Mus musculus: one gene and its partner. The protein of the gene in region 1 purifies or fractionates together with the protein of each later gene. This does not show direct contact. Links are inferred from orthologs where the notes say so. Each region holds a gene or a part of one and is shown on either strand. Other genes may lie near its edges.

What was found.
Region 2: the proteins of Dot1l (region 1) and Npm1 purify together in Homo sapiens (affinity purification with mass spectrometry; 3 studies listed by BioGRID and IntAct, with this or other methods). This does not show direct contact. The link is inferred for Mus musculus from reciprocal best matches to the Homo sapiens genes DOT1L and NPM1.

Annotation. Positions count from the first base shown.
Region 1 is NC_000076.6:80,748,720-80,763,217, reverse strand, and holds the start of Dot1l (histone-lysine N-methyltransferase, H3 lysine-79 specific), read right to left. Parts: upstream 8,016-14,498; 5' UTR 7,775-8,015; coding exon 7,694-7,774; intron 1-7,693. UniProt on the Homo sapiens protein: Histone methyltransferase. Methylates 'Lys-79' of histone H3. Nucleosomes are preferred as substrate compared to free histones. Binds to DNA.
Region 2 is NC_000077.6:33,156,130-33,170,887, reverse strand, and holds the start of Npm1 (nucleophosmin), read left to right. Parts: upstream 1-7,681; 5' UTR 7,682-7,908; coding exon 7,909-7,966; intron 7,967-9,260; coding exon 9,261-9,340; intron 9,341-9,662; coding exon 9,663-9,782; intron 9,783-9,966; coding exon 9,967-10,060; intron 10,061-10,447; coding exon 10,448-10,554; intron 10,555-10,892; coding exon 10,893-10,954; intron 10,955-13,839; coding exon 13,840-13,897; intron 13,898-14,140; coding exon 14,141-14,224; intron 14,225-14,758. UniProt on the Homo sapiens protein: Involved in diverse cellular processes such as ribosome biogenesis, centrosome duplication, protein chaperoning, histone assembly, cell proliferation, and regulation of tumor suppressors p53/TP53 and ARF.

The DNA of each region.
Region 1 (14,498 bases):
CCCAGGTGGTTGTCACAGCTCAGAAAGATCTTAGAAATGCTGTGCAGCTGGAAAGGCAGCTAGGTGGTTAGAGCACTAGAAGCTCTAGCAGATAATCCAGGTTCAATTCCCAGCAACCACATGGTGGCTCACAACAGCCTATCACTCCAGCTCCAGTGGATATGATGCCTTCTTCTGGCCTCCATAGGCACTGCATGGACATGGTGCAGACAAACATGCAGGTAGCACAACTCCTGTCTCTACCTCCCAAATGTTGGGATTGATTGATTGATTGATTATCTTGTAGGGTTCTTAGGGCTTCCCCACTTACTGAGGACCAGGACACACTCTTGAGTTTTGTTGGGCCTACTATGCCCACTCAGTCCTGAGCTTACAAACTAAGAGGAGCAGATTCTTCCAGCTGTGTTCCTAGGAAAGGGACAGGCATGCAGGCACCTGGGAATGAAGGGACTATGCTGGGCACAGCCCCAGGAGCCTGCGTTCATGAGAAATGCTGGTCTCTTTGTACAGGGACAGCCCACATCTGGTGCAGCACTAGGAATTCACTGCTAAGTGCCTCACCTGCTGAGCGACTTCAGTGCTTTTTGAATTTGTGAACAGAATGATCACTATAGATACCCTGAAATGCCTAATCCTGCCCTGGCCTCCTGAGTGCTGCTGAGATCACACATTTGTGCCACTGCACCAGGCTTGCCTATACTCATCAACAAACCACAGCAGCTAATTTCTTCTACAAAGCAACACTCAAGTGGTATGGGGCAGTGGCACATATGCCTTTAGTCACAGCAGAGACAGAGGAAGGTGGATCTCTGTGAGTTCAAGGCCAACCAAGACTACAGAGAGAGAGGGGCCCTGTGAAAGAAAGAAAGAAAGAAAGAAAGAAAGAAAGAAAGAAAGAAAGAGGGAGGGAGGGAGGGAGGGCAGGCAGGGGAGGGGAGGGGAGGGGAGTAAGGAAGCAGCAGGCAGGGCATGGTGGTGCACCCCTTCATAATCCAAGCACTCGGGAGGCAGAGACAGAAGTTCAAGGCCAGCTTGGTCTAAAAAGTAAATTCCAAGACAGTCAGGAAAACATGGAGAGAACCTGTGTGGAAAAACAAACAAAACACTCTTCTGTGGCCATCAAATACCATTACAGCAAAGGTGTGGAAGGCTGTTCCAAACCCTCCTGAACTTGCCTCAACTGATAACCATCAACTGCTCAGATCACATGCAGGGTGACCAACAGCCAAACAAAGCATTGCCTGTACAAGGGCAAGAGAGGCAGGAGCCTCACAGAGAATCCCAGGACAGGTCCCTTGATCAAGGATAAGCTCAAAGGGGTCTACATCTCCATCCCAGTGCCAAAGACCCGTGGGATCCCCCAGTGAGTGACCCCTAAAGCGTGCATCCTGCAGAGAAGCCTGAGGAAGCCTCAGACACTAAATCAACCATGACCTCAGTCATTAGCAAACATAGTCCCACACAAAGAACTAAGAACCCTGGAAAAGCCCACACAGGGTTATGATCATATCACATGTACAGTCTCAACCTGATGGGCTATCCTAAGAATGCACACCACATTCCAAGCTTAGGGTATGTCTGTTCACACGTGTGTACACAGACATACACACACAGAGAAAGGAGGAGGAGGGGAAGGGAGACACTCAGTCTATAACTTTCTGGTAACTTTATTGTGGGGGTTCAGGCAATCTCTTTGCCCCAGCCTCCCAAGCAACTGGGACCACAGACACATCCAGCCTAGAGAACTTTTTTTTTTTTTTTTTTAAGACTTGACTCTGAACTCAAAAGTCCACAAAGGGACCCAGGGTCTGGCCCAGCTCCAGGGTACTAATTCACAGCACACATGGGGACACCCAGCTTCCTGGCTGCCCATCTTCCTGAAGGCAGGAGGCAAGTATAGGATGGGGACTCAAAGGTTCACAAAAGAACAAGTGTCCTTGCTCAGCTACAAGGACAGAGATGAGGCCAGAGCCAGCCCATTTGTGCCAGCTGCCTGCCCTGCAGCCACAAGGGTTTCTGCTGAACTTTCCATGGAAAGCTGGCCTCTGAGGTCTTCAAAGGGGACTGACACCATCAACCCAGGTCTATTAAGTGATATAGGTTAGTCAATAGATAAGAGTGACTGCATATTCACCATCAGGACACTTTTGTGTCCTCCTTCTTGCAGGCCACTCCTCCCTCAGGGTATGAGGGCAAAGGACAGGGGCTTGGTTACCCTTTGTCTTAGGAGAGCTGGGACAAGCCTTCAAGGAGAGGCAAGGAGCCCTGCCCAGACAACAGCAAGATAGCATGGCATTGCATCTGGGCACTGGGGCGGCTGTGAATATTGCACAGGGACCAGAGAGAGACCAAGAATTCACAGCACTTGCCCTGCAATCAGAAGGTAAGCAGTCAAAGCTCCTGTAACCCCAGCAGGGGTGTGGGGACCTGGGACTGGAGCCAGCTGGCTTCCAGTCTACCTGAGAAGGCAAATCATCAGGTCCAGCAAAGGACCCTGCCTCAAAGGGACAGACAGTGACATAAGAGGACACAGCATCCTCTTCTGTCTTCTACCCTCACACGTCGTGAATACCTGTGCACAGTAAATAAAATTCCACTTTTTTTTTTTTCCGAGGCAGGGTTTCTCTATGTAGCCCTGGCTGTCCTGGAACTCACTCTGTTAGACCAGGCTGGCCTCAAACTCAGAAATAAGCCTGCCTCTGCCTCATGAGTGCTGGGATTAAAGGCATGCGCTACCACGCCCAGCTAAAATTCCATCCTTTTAAAAAAGTTGCCTGGTGTATATGAATGCCCTTATGGATCTTGGTGCCACCCCATTCTATCCTGTTACTCCACTCTAGCATGGAGGAAACAAGTTCGTCTTCTAAAGCCTAAGACCTGGAAGTCTGTTTCCACACTCAAATACCACAAGCCAGTGGCAAAGGCAGAAGCACAGGGTTCTAACATTGGTGACAGGACCACAGGGAGTAGCTTGGCAGTAAGAGATGTCCAACAGATAATCCTTAAACAGAAAGTTATACTCATGGGCTGGGAACAGATGACTATTCATGGGGGTGATGGACTGTTCTAGAACTAGAGAGCTATAATAGCTGCCTGACCTCTGATTATTCCACAGACCCTGTCAGGTAACCTGTTTGGGTACTGGTTTTGGACAAACCCGGACCTTCCCACAAGTGGACAGGTGCTACCCTTCTGAGCTTGAATATAGCTCAGTAGGTCTAGCACTCCCTAGAATGCACAAAGCCTGGGGCTCCATCCCCAACACTGTGTAAACCAGCACTCTGGAGGTAAAGGCAGAGTCAGGAGTCTGGGGGGGGGGGGGGGAGTGGAGGAGGGAGAGTAAGGAAGGAGGCAGATGCTCCAGTAACTGCTTGACACTCCCTCCCTGAACAGTCCTACCCTGCCTATGCCCCAGCATACTCACACCACCAGCAGAGCAGCCTGCAGTAGTTTAGCCTGTGTAGGACCTCAGAAGGTTATCACATCTCAACCCCAGAGCTGGTGTCCACATACAATGGACAGCTGTGTTTGGGTTAAGTTAGCAACAGACCAACAGTCAGGTGGTTGGACACCAATGTTCTGGAAAGATAACCAGCTTGGCTTGCATAACGAGGACCCCAGGAAAAAAGGACAGGTCTGCTCCAACAAACAGACCACTTATCCAATCTGAGATACGGGGTGGCAGACCTGTGTCTCTGTTATCCAGAACCCAACTCGGCAGGAGCCCAGTGCCCAAGTTTTCCCTCTTCCCAATTATGGCAACCACAAATATCACTAGGCATCACCAAGTGTCAATTAAAGACAGACCCCATGAGAATGGCTGGCTAACCTTTCCATGTGACAGAAGTAATGACACCTAACAGAGTGTCACATACCCTGCAGGGAGGCTGGGAGAGGTGGTCTGTCCTCATCACTTAACCTCACATGTAACTTGAAGCCAGCAGGACATCTCATACCCATATTCATAGCAGTTGAGAGAAAAAGACAGGATTGCTCTAAGTTTGAAGTTAGCCTGGGCTACATGGTGAGTGCCAAACTGCCCTGGGTACAGAATCAGACCATCTCACCCAGCTGGTGGTTTCCGGGCAGTCCCCTACTCTCATCAGTAAGTGGGTTTGAAAGGCAAGTACAGAGCCAATGTTTCCCTTGGCCACACATGGAAGCCCACCGTTACCATCCTTTCCCTGCTGAAACAGGTAATTGGCCCACATAGGCAGGCTAAAGGTCAACCCACCTTTGCCCACGTGAGCACAGATTAGCCTGGACACTTATCCGAAAAGGTCAGCAGAAGAAAATACCTTCTGAGTCACGCTGGGGCTGGCTCATTCTACCCACAGCACGACTCACCCAGCCACCCACGGGACTCCTGAACTCATCAGAAGGGACACGCCACCACACATGGCCTACTGAGTCACCAACAGGAAGGCCACCCTAGTCCTCCTTCTCAGGTTTGTCCCCTAAGCTGCCTGCCAAGCAAACAGCTAAAAATGACATCTACATCACTTCTGCCAAAGGGATTACTCTGTGAGGTTCCAGAGCCCTAAACTGCTATAAGGATGGTGTCCCCCTCCCACCTGTCACTTGTCCAAACCTGGTCTCCAAACTGGGTATTTCTGAGTGTGAACACAAGGCTACTCAACTCCTCTAAGAAGCTGGGCCACCAGCCCAGGCCCATGACTGCCACACTCAGTTCCTAATCTGTCTGTCAAGTTCCAGAGCCTGCAGTGATGAATGTCTTTCTATCCTCTGTGCCCCAGGGGCACCAAAGGTAGCTTGCAGGTGCTTTTTACAAAGGATTATAAAGCCAGACCTGGTGGCACACACCTGGCATCCCAGGACTCTGAAGGAGGCAGGAGGATGAAGGCCAGTTGGATTATGCTAAGACTCCATCCATCCCAAAACAAACAGAATAGACTGGGAAGGCCTGTAGGTGGGTGGGCACACAATGCCTCAGTAATGGGATCACAGCACAACAGATTTTTCTGTGTTTGCCTGATTGGGGGAAGGGACCTGAAACAAGAGTCTGATGCGCCCCAATATGTGGGACAGGCTGGCATGGAACTCACTATATAGTCAAAGCTGGTCTTGAACTCCTGATCCCTCTGCCGCCACTTCCTGGGAGCTAGCATGGCAGGTCTGACACTGGTGTGTGCCAGGTTCTGGCTTCCTAAGAAGCAGAACTCTCCATGGAACATGGTACTAGAATAGGGCACTGTGGAGCTGCTGCTCTGCTCAGGCTTTGAGAGAGCTAACCACCCCTACCCTGCCACCTGCTGGCTCCTGGATGGAGAGCAATGTGACAGCCACAGCTGGAAAGTGCCTGCAGATGTCAGGAGCAGGGCTGGGCCAGCAGAGCCAACCTTGCCAAATGAGATCTGGGCCAGCAAGGGAAAGGCACTGGGCGGTCATTCCCAGCCACCCGCCACTGGAAAGCCAGTTCCCGCCAGGCTCAACTGAAGGCCTGATTCACATGAAAGGGTCAGCGTCACTGGGTGAACTTTCAGCCTTCATCACCAGGGGACAGGGCAGAGGCAAACTAGAAGCACCATTCAAATGGGCACCAACAAGGTTGTGGTAGTTTTTTTTAACCCTTCAAACTCATATATGACAACTTTGAGGATACAGCCTGGTGACTGTCTACTCAGTACAGACCAAGCAGCCCATTTCTTGGTCTCCTCAGTGACAGCTTCAGCTTGAACAAGGCTACTGCAGGTGTCTGGAGTTCTAAACTCCCCGCATCCCCAACACACACACACACACACCACAGGGGTACAAGCCCATCATCCCAACCAGCACTTGGGGCAGAAGCTGGATATCACTGCAAGTTCAAGGCCAGCCTGAGCTACAGAATGAGTTCCAGGTCAGCCACTATATAACAAGACCAAAGAAACAATAGAAAAAGAAAACACTAGGCCAGCACAGGCATCCTATGACTGGCAGAATCATCACCAAACTTGGCTCACTGCCCAAAGGATGCTGCCCAGCTAAAAGAAAAACTAGGGGCAGCCTCAAACCCTCAGACAGCGTGGGTGGGCAAGTCTCAGACACATTCTCCCGGGTGAACACTGCAGAGTTGCTGATCATTCCCTGGACTTTCTAGAAAAAGCTGCTAGCAGAGAACACAATGTGACAGCCAAGGAAGTGGGAGGCAAATGACAGAAGGACAGTGGAGGGGAGGCTGAGGTGGCTGAAGTAGGCTGCACCTCGACTGTGACCACAACTCACAGAACTGCCCTGCGAAGGGTGGCTAGTCAGAACAGCCAACTCTGAGAGGGAACGTACTAAAGAGTGTGCTCTTCCAGACAGCCTCACCAGACAACCTCCCGGACTTCCCAACCTCTCAGACTCCACCAACACCAGGGGACAACTTTTCCCATTTCCCACAGTCCTTCCAGTCGTGGTAAGAAGAGGGACAAGCCTCCCCAATTTCTCAGACTCTTTGTAGGCAGACCACCAACCAGGAACCCACACTATAGACCAGGTTGGTCAGGACTCCTCCTGCCTCTGCCAAGTGCCAGGATTAAAAGTGTGTGCCACCATGACCAGCATACACACAAACAGATATTTCAAAATTCCTATTACATTTGTGAGTGGCTGTGTCTGTGCACACAGTGAGGTCAGAGAACTTGTGGAAGTTGGTACTCTCCCTTCTGCCCATGTCCCAAACATGGAACTCAGATTATAAGACTGTTGCTGAGCCATCTTGCTGACCTCAGGAGAGTTGAGTGGACACTTGTGGGAATGTTCAAGGACACACAGGGCTGCCTAATTCGAAGAGGCAGAGGACAGGTGCAAGGGCATCCCAGGACACACATGTTCCCTGGGACCCCAGTGAGGATGTGAACTCAGCAGCACCAGGGAACCCCACTGCTGTATCTTCTACTCAAAGCATACAAAGGGCCACAAGGGGACAGTACACTGACCTCCGCAGGCCCTCCTGGACTTCAGAACCCACTTGCCTCTGGCACTTCCACTTTAAGGGATAACACCTCCAGCTTTGCAGAGTCGCACCAGCTCTACCCACCAGCATGAGAGGACAACCTCCAGACTCCCTAAGTCCCCTCTAGCCATGCCACCAACATTAAGAAACAACTGCTCCAGCATTCCAATGTACCTCCAGGCCAATCCACCAACGTCAAACGACACATGAGGTACAAATTGAGATGACAACCTCTCTAACTTCTCAGGTTCTTTCAGCCGGGCACCCTGACATGAAGAAACAACTATTCGGAGCCCTCCTACCACTCCACGAACGTGGGGGGACAACCCAAACCCAAGGGCCAACCTCCCCCTGACTTCCTAGGGTTCTTTTTAGCACCTGCCCATGAACATCAAAAGGTGACAACGAGAAAGGGCATAGAGGACAATAGGAGAAGGCATCAGGATAAGAAACAGATGACTGGAAGAGGGCACGTGAGGTGACAATTTGAGGTGACAACATGAGGGGTCGCCACGAAAGGCAAGGAATCCCCGACTTCTCAGTCTCTACACCCCTGCCCACAAGGTCGGTCCAGACTCAGGTCCTCAAAGGCTGGAGACGCGGGGCTCCGGGCCGGCGGCGGCGACAACGCGACCGGCCGCGTCAGGGCAACGGCAGGCGCGGGCCGAGAACGGCCAAGGACCCGCCGCCGCCGCCGCTGCCGCCGCGGAGCCCCACGACTCCTACCCCCGCGTTCTCCGCAAGTACACTCACGTAGACCGGCAGCGGCCACGGGTAGACGGCGGGCTCGGCGCCCACAGGCGACTTGAGCCTCAGCTCCAGCTTCTCGCCCATGTCGGCGCGCGCGGCCGCCGCACCATGCTAGGCGGGCGGTTGGGGGAGGGGCGGGGCCACCGGCGGGAAGCCGGGCGGGCGGACACGGGCGGACGCGGGGCGGACGGCTGAGGACAGACGGCCCGGCCTGTGCCTCGGCCGCCGCTCCCGTGTGGCCCCAGCTCCCCTCTTTGTAGGAGTCACAGAGCCGGGGCGTCTAGAGCCGCCGCCATCTTGGGCCGGCGTGAGGAGAAGGCACAATGAGCCGGGGGGTCGGGCGGAACCACTCGGCGAGCGCGCGCGGGGGAGGCCGGGAGCCAAGAGGCGGTGCGCGCCCAGAGCCTCCGCCCGCCGCGCCGCGCGCGCCACCCCTCGCACGCCACGCCCCCTTGGACTCGCCCTCCTCCGACCGACGCACGCACTTACGCACGCAGCGGCGCACGCACGTCCTCGGTTGCCCTCCGACGTCGCCGCCAGCCGGAAGCGGGGACCCGGGGAAACCCTGCGGAGGAAAGCGAGAGAGACCAGGCGGGGTCAAGTTCAAATCCCAGTTGCACAGGCTTGCTTCGCGTCCCTTCGCTTTGCTTTGCTTTTTTCTTTTCTTTCCATTTCCTGTTCTTTTTCTTTCTCTTCCCTTCCCGTCAATTTTCTTTTTCTGTTTTTCTGGCTTTTTCTTTCTTTCTTTTTTTTTTCATTTTTCAATTTTTCCCCTTCTTTAGCTTTTCTATTTTTTCACTTTTCTAGCCTATCTGCTTATTGTTTATTTACATGCTTTTTTTTTTTTTTTTTTTTTTGAGACAGGGTGTCCCTGGCTGTCCAGGAACTCATTCTGTTGACCAGTCTGACCTCGAATTTACCAAAATCCACCTGCCTCTGCCTCCTGAGAGCTGGGATTAAAGATGTGAGCAATAAGTTAATTAATAAATCATCAGTCAAATTGGACCCTATAGGTCGGAGGCTCTCAATTAAGAGTTCAAAGCAATGTTATTCTCTGACCTGCCCAGAACTTTACAGAGTCAGGAGCCAAACTTATTTCCTTCTTAGGCCATTCCAATCCTTCTAATACTTAAGTTCCCTCCCCCCAAAACCTTCTGAGAATAAGTTACCTTGAGGTGAGCTGTCACCAGCTCACCAGCCGCTTCTGGATAGCTGCTTCTTCTTCCTGACTACATGGGAGTGAATGTAATCTAGGGGAGATGGCTCCCACCCCTCATCCTAGCGCTTGCCAGCCCCCAAAAGAAGGATCCGGAGCTAGAAGCCATGCTGAGCTACCAAGTAAATTCCGGGCCAGCCTGGGCAACTCAGTGAGCCCTCGTTCCAAAACTAAATGACGTGGTAAAAGACTCTGTAGCTTGGTGTCTCAGTCAGGGCTTCTATTCCTGCACAAACATCAGGACCAAGAAGCAAGTTGGGGAGGAAAGGGTTTATTCACCTTACACTTCCACATTGCTGTTAATCACCAAAGGATGTCAGGACTGGAACTCAGGCAGGTCAGGAAGCAGGAGCTGATGCAGAGGCCATGGAGGGATGTTCTTTACTGGCTTGCTTCCCCTGGCTTGCTCAGCTTGCGCTCTCTCTCTCTCTCTCTCTCTCTCTCTCTTAAATACATTTTTTTCCCAAGACAGGGTTTCTCTGTGTAGCCCTGGCTGCAGCTTGCTCTCTTATAGAACCCAAGACTACCAGCCCAGGGATGGCACCACTCACAAGGGGACCTCCCCCCTTGATCACTAATTAAGAAAATGCCTTACATGGGCTGGTGAGATGGCTCAGTGGGTAAGAGCACCTTACTGCTCTTCCAAAGGTCCGAAGTTCAAATCCCAGCAACCACATGGTGGCTCACAACCATCCATAATGAGATCTGACTCCCTCTTCTGGGGTGTCTGAAGACAGCTACAGTGTACTTACATATAATAAAAATAAATTAAAAAAAAAAAAGAAAAAAGAAAATGCCTTACAGCTGGATCTCATGGAGGCATTTCCCCAGCTGAAGCTCCTTTCTCTGTCAAGTTGACACAAAACTAGCCAGTACACTTGGTATGATGTAAGCAGGTCAAGAAACTGAACTTGCCAGGTAACTCATGGGTTACACAGGGCTCTTGGGACACAGGCAGAGGCAGGTGGATAGCCTGGGCCTGAGCCGAGATTATCCTTCCTTGCAGAAGTCTGCATTGGCTCTTCCTAGATTGCTCTATTGTTTTTATTTGTTGGCTTCTATGTTTTTTTGTTTGTTTGTTTTTTGGTTTGGTTTTTCGAGACAGGGTGTGCCACCACACCCGGCGGCTTCTACGTTTGATTTTGTTATCTTGTTTTACTTTTTTTTTTTTTTTTTTTTTTGAGAGGAGATCATTGTGTAGCTTTGAAAGTTGATATGTGCAGGGCAGTGGTGGCATGCATCTTTAATCCCAGCACTTGGGAGGCAGAGGCAGGTGGATTTCTGAATTCGAGGCCAGCCTGCTCTACAGAGTGAGTTCCAGGACACCCAGGGCTATACAGAGAAACCCTGTCTGGAAAAAAATTTTAAAAAACAAAACAAAACAAAACAAAAGAAAGTTGATAAGTAGCCCAGGCTGGCCTTAAACTCACAGAGATCGGCCTGCCTCTGCCTCCCGAGTGGAGTGCTGAGATAAAGCCCTCTGGAGGCACCATGTCCATTCTGCTTCAGCTTTGGCTGGTTGTTGCTGGTGGTGTTCTTGGGACAGTCTTCTGTAGGCCAGAATGACCTTGAATGCCTTTTCTTTTTCTTTTCTTTTCTTTTCTTTTCTTTATTTCCTGCTTGATTAAGGAAATGAACTTGAGCAAATACTGTCCCACTAAGCTAGTCTAAGAGCAGACCTTGACCAGCAGCCCCCCAGCCTGCTGCTGCAGTGACAGACTGTGAACGTTCTTTATATCTGACCTACTTCCTCATGCCCTTTAGAGAGAAGGCCAATCCTGTTACTCACTCTAGGGGATTCCTACACAGAGCTCTCCTCCGTGCCTTGTAGCTATTACTTTCTCCTTGTGTTGTCCAGAGTGAGGCTCATCTTTCCCTACAAGACAATGTCCCAACTTCAGTGGTAGTGGAGAGAATTTCCCAGGTCTCTCATGCTTTCATTGCCAGAGCTAATAGGGCATAGCCTGGTGCCTCCTAGGAGCTAGGGCCAAGCACTTCCTTGCCAAACACGCCCCCAATCACTCACAGAGGATTCTAGGCGAGGCTCCACCCCTGACCACGCCCCCAGCCCACCCCTTTTCCTCCCCCACCCCCAGGAGGCAGGGCTTAACCCTAACCATGCCTCAACCCCTCATTGGAGGATTCTAGATAGAGTTCCAGCCCTGTCCACACTCCCAGCCCCTCCCTCACTGGGGGTTCTACACGGGAGTTTAAGATTTAGTGTCTATATATATTGCCCAGGAAAGTTTTAACTCATCGCCTTCCGGCACCCCAAGTGCTGGAATTTTAAGGATTATGTGCTGGGATATGGAGGGTTCCATGCGGGCACGAGGAGTCTGGGATGTGAGGGGTATGTATGCTCAGGACCTCAAGAAGACACCCCCACCCGTGCCCAGATATCCTTTTACCTTTTGTTACCAAACTCAGCTTAAAACCTAAAAGAAGCAAGAGAAAGCCTAGGTCCAGAGGGAGAGGGAAGTCCCCTCGCCCACACCGTGGCTCCAGAGGGAGCGGGAAGTCTCCCCACATCCCCAGCCTCTGTCTTAGAAGTTCCTCTGCAGCTTCCTGCACCTTCTTGGTTTCAAGGCGCTGGCCGGTTCTGCTAATTTTGGGCTGAGAGCCCACAGGATCCTGTGAGTCACATCTTAAAATAACCTCCGTTTCTATATGTGTGCGCACTCGGCTCTATTTCTGGAAGTCTGAGTAATAGCCGAGGAAGCCGGGGGTTTGCCATCGGCCACTCCCTCCCAGCCAGCACTGTGCCTGAACTCCAAAGTACTCTCAAGAGTGGGGAGTTTAAGTTCCAGACCAACACCAGATATGGGATAAGTGGGTGGAGAGCTGACCTGGAACGTGGGAAACCCTGAGCTGCATCGCCGGAACAACTCTCATAAACGGGGTGTGGTGAACTAGCCTCTCACCCACCACTGCACTGGGAGGTGGAGGCAGAGCAGTTAAGAGATGACTGAGAAGATCTATAAAGAGCACTTGCTGCTCTTCCAGAGTTGCTGAGTTCAATTCCCAGCAACCACATAGTGGCTCACAACCATCAACAAGGGTATCTGCTGCCCTCTTCTGTCGTGCAGGAGATAGAACACTCATATATATAATACATCTTTTTTCTTTTCTTTTCTTTTCTTTTCTTTTCTTTTCTTTTCTTTTCTTTTCTCTTCTCTTCTCTTCTCTTCTCTTCTCTTCTCTCCTCTTCTCTTCTCTTCTTTTCTTTCTTTCTTTTTTTTAAAAGAGGGACCTCATGTCCATGTCTAAGGTGGAGAGAGATGGAGATGCAGGACTTCAAGCTCAGACCTCCATACACATTGGACACATATACTTTCATAAACAAAGAAAAGGGCCAGAGGAATGGCTCAGTTGGTGAGGAGTTTGCCTTCAAAGACAAGAATCCTATTTTAGTTCTGGTGCCCACACACAAGTGTCAGGCCTAGGGTGGTGGCATGCCCTGGTGCCAGCCCTGGGGTGGTGGCCCCTGGAATTCAGGAACTGGAAAAGCACAGACAGGAGCCAGCCTAGTCTAATTAATGAGTTCCAGGCTAGGAGAAACTGGCTCAAAAGGAGTAGGCAGCAGTCCTGAAGAACACAGCCGAGGCTATCCTCTGGGGATCACAGCCTAGGCTATCCTCTGACTTCCATGCCCTACCCACCCATATATACACCTGCAGGCACACACAAACACAGACATACAGAGTAAATAAACTGTTTAAAGAACAGAAAATAGGCCAGGAGTGATGGCACACGCCTTTAATCCCAGCACTCTGGAGACAGGCAGGCTGATCTCTGTGAGTTCAAGGTCAGCCTAGTCTACAGAGCAAGCTCCAAGATTACCAGGGCTACACAGAGACTCTGTCTTGAAAAAAAAGTGTGTGTGTGTGTGTGTGTGTGTGTGTGTAGATGGCTCAGAAGTTAAGAGCACTGACTGCTCTTCCAGAGGTCCTCAGTTCAATTCCCAGAAACCACATGGTGGCTCACAACCATCTGTAATGGGATCTGATGCCCTCTTCTGGGGTGTCTGAAGACAGCTATAGTGTACTCACATATATAAAGTAAATAATTCTTTAAAAAACAAAACAAAATAAACAAACAAAAAACTAATGCCGGGCAGTGGTGGCACACACCTTTAATCCCAGCACTTGGGAAGCAGAGGCAGGCAGATTTCTGAGTTCAAAGCCAGCCTGGTCTACAGAGTGAGTTCCAGGACAGCCAGGGCTACACGGAGAAACCCTGTCTTGAGAAACAACAACAACAACAACAACAACAACAACAACAACAACAAAAACCCCAAAACAAAGAGCAAAACAAACAAACAAATAAACATACTAAAAATCCACCCTGAAATACCCTGAGCAAAGGTGCTGGGAGTGGAAGCAATATTTCATCCTGCAGGTGTAGCGCATCACCAAGAGAATTCAGGCCTGGAACCTGAAGGCAGGCAGGACCTTGGGCATAGGCAATGGAGGAGGACTGCAGAATGGCTTGCCCCCGTGGCCAGTTCACTCTACTGGACCTCGGCCAAGAAAATGGCCCAGGGATCAGTCTGGTTAGGGCCTTTACCCAGTCGATGCTCTATCTTCCAAGATGATTCTAGCTGTCTCAAGTTGATGTAACCTACTCAGAACAAAACCAACCAAGGCTACAGAGATGCTTTCGGCAGAGCTGCTGCTGGCATGCTGGAGTCTGATCAATGGCAATGCTGGCATGCTGAGACCCTGGCAATGGATAGGAGAGAACCAACTTCTGGGAAATGCCCACTGACCTCCACACGCACACAAGCAAGCATGCACACCATAAATAAATAAATAAATAAATGTAATGAAGAGTTGTTTTAAAGTATTTGTTTGCCAGGTGTGGTGGTGAACGCCTTTAATCCCAGCACTCGGGAGGCAGAGGCAGGCAGATTTCTGAGTTCGAGGCCAACTTGGTCTACAAAGTAAGTTCCAGGACAGCCAGGGCTATACTGTCCTGGAACTCACTACATAAATCAGGCTGGCCCTGAATTTACAGAGATCTGCTTCGGAGTGCTGGGATTAATGGCATGCAACACTCACTACACCTGATTTTTCTTTAATTTTTTTTTTAAATAATCAAATCCCAGAGAGCTAGGGACATGGCTCAGGTGGTAAAGTGGCCACCATGCAGGCTTGAGGGCCAGAGTTTTGATCTTCAGAACCCACAACAGGCCCAGAAATAGTGGCGCACACTTTTAATCGATCTCAGAGTTAAGGAGGCAGAGACAGGAGGATTCCTGGAATCCCTGGGGCCAGCCAGCCAGCCAAGTCTGACCCACGAGTTCAAGAGCTAGATGTGATGTGAGGAACCAGATCCAAGGTTGAACTCTGACCTTCACACATGGACACTTGTACACGTATGCACAGCAAATCTTGGGCTGTCGCTGAGAATCCTTAGGAAACAGGAATTAGCAAGTTCCTTGAGGGTGGGAGGGATGGATGCTTTCAGTGGCCAGACCAAAGGAATTTCAGCACCAAGGAGAGCTCCAGACGCTCTCTGTGGGAGGCTTCCTTCATTCTCACCCGCCCTCTTAAAGGGGCTCCTGGGCCAGGGAAACACCAGAGGACCTCA
Region 2 (14,758 bases), on another chromosome or scaffold:
GCCATTCAGGATGAAGTTAGTGATACTTCAAGGTAAAACATTATAGGTTCTGATTTACTTTAATTCCACTTCAGGATACGCTACAGACTCATCTCCATTACTTTAATGCAGTAACTGGTTCTGCTGGTCAATAAACCTTTACGGGCAAAGGAGCGGGTTAGCCCTACAGCGCCCTCTGCTGTAATTGCTGGACTTTACCGCTCTTTCTGACGATGGAGAGGAGAGGAACTCATCTTTTTGACAAAGGGTGGGTCATTCCAGATGCAGATCAGGATGCAGAACCGGAACGCTGACAGTGGGCCCAAATCCAAGCCAACTTGGAGGTTCCCTGACTGAGTCCCAGGACTTTCTATCCTCCCTTCCAGCTGCCTGCTTCCACCACGTATTGGGCCTTTTACATTTAAGGCTTCCAGACCTGACTCTTGCATTTCATCATGCCCAGCCCAGTCATGACTTATCTCCCTATTGTCTAGTCGCCTTGAGGGGATCATCATCTTCATTCAATTGTTCAGCCCACACTTAGGAGCTGTGATTTCTTTCTCTCCTGTGACATTGAGAAGACAATTCTCAGCCGGGCGGTGGTGGCACACTTCTTTAATCCCAGCACTTAGGAGGCAGAGGCAGGTGGATTTCTGAGTTCAAGGCCAGCCTGGTCTACAAAGTGAGTTCCAGGACAGCCAGGGCTACACAGAGAAACCCTGTCTCGAAAAACCAAACAAAACAAGAGAGAGAGAGAGAGAGAGAGAGAGAGAGAGAGAGAGAATTCCCCAATAGATACAAAGGACTAAAGAAGAAGCAGGAAGAGAAAACACAGAATGTATTTACTACAGAAAGTGAGATGTGCTGATGAAAAAGAGAGAATGTGGATAGCCCTGAACTAGGACCAGTTTGTACTATCCCAGACCCCCTTTGGGGGGTGAGATAGATTTGGGTTGTTTTTTGTTTTTTTGACACCCTTCAGCCTCTGGGGGTGGGGGGAAGAACAGAGGACCCTGTTGTGAATTCCTCAGACACACTCACCTCCTCCCCTACTTTCTGACATGGATGCTGCTTATGGCTCACCTTAAAGAAGGATTGCTCTCCGTCCAACAATCTAGTTCATGATGTGACCCATGGCTTCAGAAAGGACATCTGTGTCATAACCTGAGGGGTCACACCCGTACCAGTATCACTCACTCACCAGTGGCAAATTTTCCCATTCTTGGAGGCCATAATCTTCATTCATTAAACATGCTAATCAAAAATGGCATACACAAACAGTTTTCTTTTTTTTTCTTTCTTTTTTTTTTTAAGATTTATTTATTGATTATATGTAAGTACACTGTAGCTGTCTTCAGATACACCAGAAGAGGGAGTCAGATCTTGTTACGGATGGTTGTGAGCCATCATGTGGTTGCTGGGATTTGAACTCAGGACCTTTGGAAGAGCAGTCGGGTGCTCTTACCTGCTGAGCCATCTCACCAGCCCCACAAACAGTTTTCTAAATTATCTTGGCTACATCAGTGAAAACAGACATCCTGACTTAAAATATAAGTGATACACATTTTGGACAACACATGTACAATTCAAAAACTGAACAGGCTGGGGGTGTGTGGCTCAGGATAAAGACCTTCTGCATTCCGTGGGCACTGTATGCTTAGGTGGTGTACAGATATACCTGCAAGCAAAACACGCAGGCATACAAAAGAAATATGATTTATTTCATTTTAAAATTATATGTATATGTGTGTATACATGAGTCCTCTGTGTGTGTGTGTGATATTTTGGCAAAGGATGTGGCTGCTTTTTGCCTTGTTCCTAAAAATCTGTCTGAGGCTAAATGAAAGCACTTGGGAGGCAGAGGCAGGTTGATTTCTGAGAGTTCAAGGCCACCCTGGTCTACAAAGCAAGTTTCAGGACAGCCAGGGCTGGCTGGTCCACAGAGGAAACCCTGAACCAGGATAAAAGAAAGGGATTATGGGATATGTCCCTGTGCCTAAGGAAAGCCGCTGAGGTCAGGCATGTGTCACCTGTGTCTCTGCATGGAGGCCTAAGAAAGCTATTTCTTGGGCTGGTGAGATGGCTCAGCGGGTAAGAGCTGCTCTTCCAAAGGTCCTGAGTTCAAATCCCAGAAACCATATGGTGGCTCACAACCATCTATAACAAGATCTGGTGGCCTCTTCTGGTGTGTCTAAAGACAGCTACAGTGTACTTACACATAATAAATAAATAAATCTTTAAAAAAAAAGACTTATTTTAAAAAAAAAAAAAGAAAGAAAGTCATTTCATGAACTGTGAAGATGAAGCTCGGGTTATACTGGAAACTGCAAGATGTTGGAGATGCCAAAGTGGTGAGAGCTGCAGCCAGGAGTAGGACCTGCCCGAGAGAGAGAGAGAGAGAGAGAGAGAGAGAGAGAGAGGAAGAGAGAGAGAGAGAGAGAGAGAGAGAGAGAGAGAGAGAGAGAGAGAGAGAGAAAGTGGCAGTCAACAAAGCTGAAAGGATTTGGAGACCTGAAGAGTGTTTTTACATCAGACATGGAGATGCTGAGTTTGGCGTTTGCCCTGCTGGGTTTTGGTCTTGCTTTAGTCCAGTATTTCCTCTCTGCGCTCCTTTTTCTCCTTTTGGAATAAAAAATGTGTATCCTGTGCCATTTATGTTGGCAGTCTGTGGGTCTGCTTTTTAAAATTTTATAGGGCTTACAGTTGAGATTGTTACAAGTCTCAAAACTTTGAACTCTGGATTTTTAAAGTGTTGTGACTGTGATAGACTATGGGGACTTCTGAAGTTGGACTAAATGCATTTGTGCATTATGATATGGCTATCAGCCTATGGGGGGCCAGGGAGTAGAATGTAGTGGTTTGACTCCTCTAATTTAATACTTAGTTATCAGGAAGTGACACTATCTGAATGGATTAGAAGAGTTAGGAGCTGTGCCCTTGTAAGAAGAAGTGCATCACCGAGGTTTCAAAACCTATATCAGACCTGGTTTCTCATTTTCTTGGTCTGTAGATCAGTGTCTAGCTCTCAGCTACTGCTCTAGCACCATGAGTGACATGTCCCACCATACTCCAGGCCACCGTGTTGATGAACTAAACCTCTGAATCTGTAAGCAAGTCCTCATACTTTCTTTTATTAGAGTAGTCTTGGATCTCTTCACAGCAATAGAATAGTGTATACATGAGTGCACATGTGTGTATGCATGTGCATGTTTGTGTAGGCATCTATACATGTCTGTGTTCATGTGTGTGTTGTAGATGGTTGGGTTGGGACAGGACTACGAGGATAGGACCCAGGGACCACATAAGACAAACAGACTAGAGCCTCCTACTCTGCCTCTGGAATGCTGGGATTAAAGGTGAAGCTGAGTAGCCTTTGAATTCCTGCACCTCTGGCCTCCATCCCCATTCCACCCCCCACTCCAGTAAATGCTGGATTACAGGTGTACACCACTATGCCAGCATCAGGAGGAACTTCCACAGTTTTCTACAATGGCTCTTCTAATTTACATGCCCCAAAACAGTATACAAATTTCCATTCCAGGACTGAACAACAAGCACTGGCTACATTTTGTCTTTGTGGATGTCCCAGAATATTTGTGTGTGTGTGTGTGTGTGTGTGTGTGTGTGTGTGTGTGTGTGTGTGTAAAATGAGGTTTGTGAGTTATTTCTCCACTGATGCTGTGCAGATGTTTTTAGTGTGAGCAGTCCTGTTTGTTTATCTTCTTTGTTGAACTATAACCTCAGTTCCAGTCTCTCTCTCTCTCTCTCTCTCAGACAGGGTTTCTCCATATAGCTGAAATTCATTCTGTAGACCAAGCTGGACTTGAATGCAGGGATTAGAAGCATATGCCACCATGCCCAGGTCTATCTCTTAAAAAAAAATGTCTCATATGGAAGAAGATAAAAGAGTGGATAGAAACAGTTCAGATAACAAATTAAGTTCTTCTAAACTTGATGATATTGAATCTCCAGTCTCCAGGACTCAGTGATCCCGGAGACAGAGGAAACACAAAGGGAGGCATACTATTTTCTTAATGTCAAGGGTCCCTTTGTTTATCCCTCTCCTCTTTTCCCTAATCTCCAACTCTTTGGACAAGGTCTCATGTAACCCAGGCTAATCCTGAACTCTGATCCTTCTGCCTCCATTGTCTCAAGTACTGAGATTATAGGCACTTCGTCCAGGCTAATCTGAGTGGAAAACATCTTAGAATCAACCAGGGAAACCATGTCTGAGCCCAGCACTTTAGAAGCTGAGGCATGAGGATTGAGTTCTAGTCTTGTACTGTAAGACTGCCCCCCCCCAAGCTGGGCCTCCACTCAAGTCCCGGGATGAGCTGGCCAGCAACCCACTGAGAAAACCACACCTGATGCAAACTGCAAGAGGCTCGGTAACAGTAGGGGGTCTTTTAACAGTTAGCTGAGGAATTGGGAGTACCGCTCTTCTCTGGCAGCAGAGGTGGTGGTGGTGGTGGGGGGTAGGGGTGTGTGTGTGTGTGTGTGTGGGGGGGGTGTCCTTGGCACAGGGAGCCAGGCAATTGCCTGGCTAGGCCTTTTTTTTTTTTTTTTTTTTTTTTTACAATTATCGCATCTCTGATTGTAAGGTATTGAAACAAATAAAGTTTTTTGCTGGCTATAGAGAACAAAGAGCTTCTTTCTGACTGTATTTTTAGAGATCAGGGAAAACAAGCTTGGGGGAATGTTTTAGGGGCTTTACCTTTCAGGGAGAAACACTTTAAATCGGGGTCTCACAGTACTACATATGGATACCTGTCTCAATAGCCATGGAGGAGGGCAAGAAGGACACATTGCAGAGAGAACAAATATAGAAATGCAGGCTGGAGATGTGGGTCAATGGTAGAGCAGTGCTTGTCCAACACTCAGGGTCCTGGGATTAATACTCACTGCAGGAAAAAATGAATCAAAACCAAAGCAAACCACAAGCAAAACCTCCAAATCAAACTTCCTGCTTGAAAACAACAACAACAACAACCACCCCCATACAAACTCTGGAGATAATATAGTAACTTTAAACTATTGAAAGAAAAGGTTTTGTTTTTGTTTTTCAATACAGGGTTTCTCTATATAGCCCTGGCTGTCCTGGAACTCACTCTGTAGACCAGGCTGGCCTTGAACTCAGAAATCCGCCTGCCTCTGCCTCCCAAGTGCTAGGATTAAAGGCGTGTGCCACCACTGCCTGGCCTGTTTGTTTATTTAAGACACTTTTTTTTTGTTTTTGTTTTTTTTGGTTAAGCGCAGGTATGTGGGCTGCGACATTAAAAGTATGGTCCGGGGCTGGAGAGATGCTTCAGTGGTTAAGAGCACTGACTGATCTTATGAAGGTCCTGAGTTCAAATCCCAGCAACCACATGGTGGCTTACAACCATCTGTAATGACATCTGACACCTTCTACTGGTGTGTCTGAAGACAGCTACAGTGTACTTACATATAAATAATAAATAAATCTTAAAAAAAAAAGTACGGTCCATCAAAATGGTATACTGTTAGACACAATTAAGCTTCCAGGACGAGATGTTTGTTTTTTGTTTTGTTTTGGTTTGTTTTTTTCGAGACAGGGTTTCTCTGTGTAGCCCTGGCTGTCCTGGAACTCACTCTGTAGACCCGGCTGTCCTTGAACTCAGAAATCTGCCTGCCTCTGCCTCCCGAGTACTGGGATTAAAGGTGTGTGCTACAACCACCACAGCAGGATCTTGAAATGGAGATTTCTCAAATGGCTTTCTTTTCCTATATCTTTATCTAAGAGAAACTTTATCTAAGTTTCTCTTATAGGATACCTTCTTGGCTACTGTCTACAGATATACCCAGAAGCTCATGGGGTATTTCTCTTTTCAGTTTATTTTTAATTGATGTAAAGTGTATCTATCTATTTATGATGTATGGCGTACTTGGGAATATGTATAATGCATTGAATGGCCTAATCAATGTGAGTCTGGACATTTCTTCTCATATATCTGTAGTCATGTGGTGTAGTATGAAATACAGTTGTATAGTTGTCACTTGGTATCCACAAGAGATCAGCTAATTCCAGGATGATTCGTGCCCACACCCAAATATGCAGATGGGAAGATGTGTATTAAATAGCATGCTGTGTGTGTGTGGAGACAACTGTTGAAGCTGGGCATTGGCCATAGGATTCTGTTTTTATGTTTTAAAGCATGCTAAAAACTAATAAAAGCATGGAATAAAAAAAAAAAAAAGATAGTATTTTGTTGTAAGGTAATATACACAGCTCTTACTCATTGTACCTAAGCATGTGGCATCATTCAGTGACAACTAAGGCACCTAAAGTTTCGGGGAGGCAGGAAGAACTGAGTCTCTGTGTAGTCCTGCCTATCCTGGAACTTGCTCTGTAGACCACTGGTCTTGAACTCCTGATCCACTTGCCTGTGCCTCCAGAGTGCTGGGATTAAACCAGCATGAGCTGCATTTAAATAAGCTTCAGAATCCAGAAACAATCAAACTGTCTGGCTTGCACAGGCTCAAGGGGTATCAATGCTTCCTCCTGCACCTTCTCAGTTTGGATGGTCAAATTCTGTTCACCCGTTCTTTCCCACACTATACCCAGTCTATCTCTGTTTATTTTATTATTATTATTATTTTGGTTTTTCGAGACAGGGTTTCTCTGTATAGCCCTGGCTATCCTGGAACTCACTCTGTAGACCAGGTTGGCCTCGAACTCAGAAATCCGCCTGCCTCTGCCTCCCGCAAACTGGGATTAAAGGCGTGCGCCACCACGCCCGACTTTTTTTTTTTTTTTCTCTGTTTATTTACACACACAATTCTTCCAAGTTTCATGATTTTTTCCTTATAGTTGCAAACTGAAATTCACATATTGACAGATATCTCCGAATTTAGGATTTGATACGTAATGGGCTCACATGCATTTATATCTGACACGTCTCTGGAGTCTACAAACATTGGTACCATTATCTACATTCCTCCCCCAAATTCTTAAATATGCTAGCTCCATGTTGAGATAAAAAGATTAGGGCCGCTGTCAGAAAGCACCCAACGCTGAGGGATGTTCGTCAGGATTCATTTTAAAGCGCTAATTCCCAGCCGAAGATTCGTATTAAGGCTCATGAATTTCTAAAAAAGCGATAGGCCTTCATTTGGAATGATGAAGACGGCCTGCGTTTTCTCAGTTCTGCACGCTCTAAAGTTTTAGAAAGATGCTCTTTGGAGGCGACTGACTGGGTTTCTCTTTGGTCCCCAAATGACATAAAGCTGATAATTTTCGTTTTGAAAATGCTGCCTCAGAAAAGAGGTGCAAAAGCATGGCTGCGGGGAAAGTAGCCTAGATCCAGCCACTCCGCCCTGGGCTCCTGAAGCTACGTGAAAACGAAGAGCAAGCCTTCGAGCAAGCCAAATCCTGAGGTGATTATGCTTGTTCCAGGCCTACGGGGAACGGAGGGTGGAGAAAAGAGACGCTCTGTGGTTCCCTGGCTGCAGCCGCCATCTTTCAGGGTGGGCTGCGCACGCTCTCGGCCCTGGGCCCGCGAGCACGAGCGGAGAAGACGTGGAAGCCCTGAAAACCCAGAGCGAGGCCACAAAGAGAAAACGCGCCTGCGCTTGGGCGACAGTAGTGGAGGGACGGGGCCAGAGACGAACGCGCGTGCGCAGTGAGAGCCCGCCAAGCACCTGGAGGAGGAGGGGGGCGAGGTACCTAGGCGTGAGGATGAAAGGCGCACGCGCAAAAGCGCGACTGTGCGGGGAGTGGGAGGGATCCAGAGGAGGCTCGCGGAGGCAGGACTAGCGCAGATCTCGCGAGATCTCCTGCGACCATATATACGTGCGGAGAGCCCGCGTCCTTTCCTTGGCGTGATTCCGTCCTGCGCGTCTGTTCTGTGGAACAGGAGGCAGTTGTTTTCCGTCCGGCTTCTCCCACACCGAAGTGCGCGCCTCCACCTCATGGAAGACTCGATGGATATGGACATGAGTCCTCTTAGGCCTCAGAACTACCTTTTCGGTAACTGACTGGAGGGGGAAGCGTGTGCAGGGCCTGGTGATGGGGGGGGGGGCGGGAGCCCAGCCGAGGCCTGGCGTGTGGGGAACGCGGCGTAGGTGGAGGCCGGAGAGCAAGGAGGAATCTCCCAGGCCTTAGAAGCAGCGGCCTGAACACTAGGAAAGCCGCCGGAAAATGGGGCGGGAGCGGCCCAGCCTGTAGCCTCGGGTGTTAGGAGCGGCCGGCCGGCCGGCGAGGGTGCGACCTTGCCTGTGGCGCGAACTTGAGAGGCGTTTCTCCTGTGCACGAAAGCCCGCACGGTCGCTTCCGAGCTCCTTTTTTTCCTCTTGTGTTGAGCCACGGCAGGCGGCACGGGAGAAAGGGGCCTGTGGAGCGAGGCGAGGCCTACCTCCGCCCTGTTGGGGAGGATACATCTGCAGGCGCTGGGCTTTCCAGGGGCCGCATCTTGTATTCTGTGGCGACCGAGGGCTTCGCCCAGTAACGGGGAATGGTCCGAGCAGGCGCCCTGAGGCAGAAGGGGCAGCAACCCCTAGGAGCACGTGGTTGCCACGTGGTTGGGGGTTAGGGAGGGGGTGTGGGCTCTACATCCGGGCTCTCCGACTCTAGCCAACCTTCAGCCGTGGGATCTTGTGGCTTAGTTAAAAGTTCTGGGAGGGAAATGTTTATTTCATAGCCCGTGGCGTATGGGTTTTTGAGATCTTTGTTCATATCTTTCAGTATCCACAGTGATGGAGCCCCCCCTTTTTAATTTGCCTCTGGTAGGCGGAGTCAGCATCACGTTGCAGATAGCTGTACTGATGGCCCACGTGGCTTAATGTTAGGAGTACCCTTAAATCATCTACCTGGCTCTATCTAGAACTACTTTTTCTTGGGGTGGGGAGAGGGAAGGATCTGTTGAACAGACAAGATTCGCTTTAGCATCAAGGCTTTTGGGGATCACATCTATAGTCTTGCTGCCTACCCTACACCCAGTTTTTGTTTAAAAGAATCAGTTTGTTTTTCAGTGATTCACGTTTTAGCTTTTTAACAGTCCTGAGATTAAAGGAACAGTGAACTCTGCCACTCGTTCATTAATTCTAGTAGTGTTTATACCGATTTCACCATACTACTTTAAAGAGACTCATTAAGTCTACTGTGGAAACCAGCAATGTTGCCTCAATGTAGTTAGTACTATGAGAAAATTAAAGATTTTTTTTTTTAATGTTTCATTTGAGTTGATTTCACAGAACTTTAGGCTTTGGGTTTTGATGTAAGTATCATTGCTAGGTTTGCTTTCTTGTTTTTGTCTTACATACAGGCTGTGAACTAAAGGCTGACAAAGACTATCACTTTAAAGTGGATAATGATGAAAATGAGCACCAGTTGTCATTAAGAACGGTATGTAAGCTCTGAAACTTAAAAACATTTCAGACATTTCCTACTGATGAACTAGGAGTTTAATCCCAGAAAAGATAGGGGATCTTTGTCACTTGTAATTTTGTATAGCTTGGTCACTCCAAGGTGCTAGATAGGTGCTTTGTAGAACAGTGCTTGTTTTTAATCTGCCAGCTTTATTCATTTAAAGGAACAGTTGTGTATATGGTAATTCTGTTGTGAAACGCTTCAATTCTAATTCTAATGGTGAGATGACTAGTTTTCTTTTCGTCAGTAGTGGTGAAAAGCCACTTTAAAAGTTTCTTTGAAACATTTTTATTCACAGGTCAGTTTAGGAGCAGGGGCAAAAGATGAGTTACACATCGTAGAGGCAGAAGCAATGAACTATGAAGGCAGTCCAATTAAAGTAACACTGGCAACTTTGAAAATGTCTGTACAACCAACAGTAAGTACATTTCTAAATTTTGGATTTCATGTTGGTTCAGGTCTCTTGCGTCATTTGGGGTCAGTGTCATTTAGGTTTTGCAAAGACGTATCTTTTACCAAGATTATTTCTGCTGCTATTATAAATAGGTTTATTTCATTGTAGAACTTGCTGGTAATATCTGTTGTAAAACTCTTATTTTTAGGTTTCCCTAGGGGGCTTTGAAATTACACCACCTGTGGTCTTACGGTTGAAGTGTGGTTCAGGGCCTGTGCACATTAGTGGACAGCATCTAGTAGGTAGGTTTTTTTTTGTCATAGTTTTCAATATAGGCTAGCTTTTTTAATATTTTAAACATTTGTATCTTTGCACATCTGCCATGGAATGCTTGTCCTGGTCAGACAAGACAATTTCCCTAGCATCTTTAATTGCTATCACATGAGTTCTGGGGATCAATCTAACACGACGAATGTGTTTGGTTGGGTTCAGCTATTCAGGACCCTATGACCAATGAGGCTATCTTTCAATCTAGACTTCCATTTGGACTGTCGTAGTTCTACAAAGACCTGATTTCTGTCTTTAAAATACAGTAAATCTTTTCTGTTCATTTGCTACCTTTAATGGAATCTTAAAAATGCTATGGGTTACTTGTTCTTGTCGAGTTAGTATGTCTAATTCTATTTTAGCTGTAGAGGAAGATGCAGAGTCTGAAGATGAAGATGAGGAGGACGTAAAACTCTTAGGCATGTCTGGAAAGCGATCTGCTCCTGGAGGTGGTAACAAGGTTCCACAGGTAAAGAAAGGAAAGATCTTTTTGTTTGTTTTTTGTTTTTCAAGACAGGGTTTCTCTGTGTAGCCCTGGGTGTCCTGGAACTCACTTTGTAGAACAGGCTGGCCTTGAACTCAGAAATCCACCTGCCTCTGCCTCCCGAGCACTGGGGTTAAAGGTGTGTGCCAGGAAAGAGTTTTAAAAAGTATTTCTGGCTGGGGGTGGTCTACAAAGTGAGTTCCAGGACACCCAGGGCTACACAGAGAAACATTGGTATCGAAAAAAAAAAACAAAATTTCTGGCATTTACTTTGGCTAATCACCAAAATTTCTCTTGCTAATGGATGCATATTATTCTTTCAGAAAAAAGTAAAACTTGATGAAGATGATGAGGACGATGATGAGGACGATGAGGATGATGAGGAGTAAGTATAAGTACTATGATCTCAAAAACTTGATCTTACAGGTACTTGTAAGGGTTTAGGAGGATTGACTTGCCAGTGGTTGATGTTTGAAAGTAAAAGATTTTGACCTATGATTCCATGTTTGCCTTACAAACAAGCTATTTATTGTATGTGGGACATTGATGGGGGGGTTGAATTAATTTATTTTTTTGAGACAGGGTTTCTCTGTGTAGCCCTGGCTGTCCTGGAACTCACTCTGTAGTTCAGGCTGGCCTGGAACTCGGAAATCTGCCTGCCTCTGCCTCCCAAGTGTGTGCGCCACTGTGCCCGGCTGGGACATTGATTTTTCTTGGGAGTTATTGTTAGGAGTAAGATTTTATGTGTTCAATATAAGTAACAGCTAGATGGGAAGTATGGAATTCGTTAAAAATATTTTTATTACATATTTTCCTCAATTACATTTCCAATGCTATCCCAAAAGTCCCCCATACCCTCCCCCCGAAGTATGGAATTATTATTTGTAGTCTTATATTTGTTACCTTCCTGTCTTATAGAAGTTCTGGAATTGGTCAAGTATATTCTGAGCTAAGATAACTGTTCAAAGCAAACTTGGGAACTAGTCTTCATTATATTGATTACTGTATTCATAGTGGGGACATAGTAAGGGACAAATAATAGTCTTGAGGTTATCAGGGTTAGTAGTTCTTCTGGTGTGATAATGGTTCATCATACAGAGATGATGCCCACGAGAATAAAATGATAGCTGAAGATTATTTACTATTTAAGTTGGAGAGTTTAATCACATTGCCAGAAAGTTCTGGATCAAAGAATGCAAAGAGGCTTTAAACACATACTCTGTATACAAGCCTATGGATTAAAGTCCTGGATCAGATAATTCAAATTGTTTGATTTCAAGATTGACTTTATATATTTCATTGTATATAGTTTAACAATGTTTGGGGAGTAGCCAGGCAGTGGTGTCGCATGCACTTGGGAGGCAGAGGCAGGTTGATTTCTGTGTTCGAGGCCAGCCTGGTCTACAGTGAGTTCCAGGACAGCCAGGGCTACACAGAGAAACCCTGTCGAAAAACCAAAAAAAATTGGGGAGTAGAACAGATGAGTGGGTTATATTGCAAATAATGACATTTATGCAGAGATTTTTTTGACTATTTTGCCATTTAAGAGCTTAGAAGATAACCCTGAGGAATGTTGTTAGAACTAAGTATTGAATGCTGCTGTACTAAAGGACAGATATATGTGGTCTCATAAGATGGTATTGCCTTTTGGTTTTATTAGACATTTTTATTTACATTTCAAATATCCCCTTTTCTAGTTTCCCCTCTGAAAACCCCCTATCCCCCTCTCCATGCTCACCAACACCCATTCCTGCTTCCTGGCCCTGGCATTCCTCTATACTGGGGCATAAAACCACCAGCATCAAGGGCCTTTTTAATCTTAAGGATAAAATCATTGGAATAGTGTTTTGGTGGTATGACTGATACTACTACATGGTTTAGGATAGAAGAAAAGAGTAGTTTTATAGAAATTAGTATTGTTTCTGGTACCAAGCATCTACATGGATTGGGTGTAAGGTAAGGTCATTTTTATACTAACCTGTAGTGTTAAATTACCAAAACCACTGGATTTACATGTAGCAGATCCTAACAAGAGAGAATCTCCCCACTGAAAAGGTAATTTACATGAAGTTCAAACTTTTGACTTTAACACTAGTGTGGAAAATGTAGTCACTGTTGGTGATTTTGCTTACAGACTTTGTATGAGCAATTGGACATTATATACTTAGGTATAGACATGGAGATGTTTCAGTGGCCATACTGAATGTGATTTGCCCCCTTCTAAAAAATCACAGTATGCCTGAAGAACATTTTGTATTCCTCTTAAAGCAAGTGCCATGTGACTTTATATCATAATCTCAGCTCTAAATTGGAAGTGAGAAGCAGCACCCTTTTTTGAGCTAGGACGTTACACTAAGTATTTGGAGGTGGACTGTTGTTAATTTCAATCTGGCAGCTTAATTCCAGTGCCACATATATATGTCTTTAGGAGGAGCCAATAAAGTTAGCCTTGTCAAACACTGCACATAACACATTGGAATGAAGTGTAAGCAGAAGCATCTTTACAGTAAGACAGGTAGAATCAACAAATGTAGTAAAATTTTTACTATAGAATTTTTGATCAATCTTTGGCTACATTTAAATTATTTGAGTATTTTGCAACATTTCATCACCACCATTTCGGTCTGGCTTTGATTTTTGACAGAATTGATCCCTATAGTTTTTAAGGGCTGAAAAGTCATGTGCATGTGTCATTGACTGTAGGTATTTGGGGTTGCTGTCACCACCTTGTGGGAGTTCTTCCTAAATTTACCTCTTGAAGAGTAATGTGTGAAGCAGTATCTTTGTTTGGTTTATTCCCTAGGTGACTAACAGTCTTACATGTTTACTGACCATATGTTTGGGGAGAAATGGTCTGTTCAAATTTCTTGCATAAGTAATTAGTATCTTTGCTCTAGTTACTGGGATATGTAAAAGTTAATCCCTACACTGCAGAGGAGAGGACACTAAAGGCATATATGTACTAACACCTGGCTAAATGTTAACTCTAAAAAGCCTAGTTTCTTTATGGTTTGGTACAAAGCTGATTTGGTTGAAGCTATTTATTTACTAATAACATTGCAAAATTAATCAACTACACAACCCTTTGAAACAATACTCTCAAGTATTATATAAAAATGTTTGTTAGGTTTCTTAAGTATTGATCCATTCAAATACTGGTGCAAATTCACTTTTATTAACAATTGTGCTACAGTGGATGAATATGGTTTAGTTCTTTTGTAAAATTGACTAAAAATTTAAGTTCTGTGTGTTGGCTTATTTCATTTATAGTGATGATGATGATGATTTTGATGAAGAGGAAACTGAAGAAAAGGTCCCAGTGAAGAAAGTGAGTACATGAGATACTATGAGGTTTATCATGGGTAGCTAGTAAAAGGATGGGAATTTCTTAGTGCTAGTAGTAAAAACTGGCTGAATTGATCTTAAAAATTGGTTCTGAGCTAAACAGGAAAATTTGAGAACGCTATCTGTATGTGAGTTACAATTTATTAGTTTGTTTTAGGACAGTTTAATCTGAGTTGATCTCTACTCTGGAGAGGGCATATGGATTAAGGCCATTTTCTACTTGCAGTCTGTACGAGATACCCCAGCCAAAAATGCACAAAAATCAAACCAAAATGGAAAAGACTTAAAACCATCAACACCGAGATCAAAGGTAAGTACCCAACAACAGACCTACTAAATTCAGTGCCTAAAAAAACTTTGTGCTTTGTGGTACTTAACCTTGCCTACATAATAGACTATAGTGCACACTAAGATAGCCCAATACATAAATTTGTGAAGTGTGTCATGTTCTGTGGTGGATTCCAAGGTTGACTTATTTTGTAGACTTGTTGAATTCTGACCTGTTATAGCTTTCACGATCTGGGTGGTGTGTGTGTATTTGTAGAGGTCAGGAGTTGTCTTAAGAGGCTTGTCAGGATTGATTGACTTTATTTTGAAGCATCTCTTCCAATCTTTTACTTTAAGATTTATTTATATAAGTACACTAGCTGTTTTTCAGACAGATGGTTGTGAGCTACCATGTGGTTGCTGGGAATTGAACTCTGACCTCTAACTGCTTATGCATCTTCAGCCCTCTAGTCCTGACAGGCTTTCTAGCTAGGAACAATTAGCAACTTCTCTGTGCTCTATAAGGGATTTTAGGGAGGAGGGAAATCTTGGTAATTACTTTGTTAAGAACTGTACT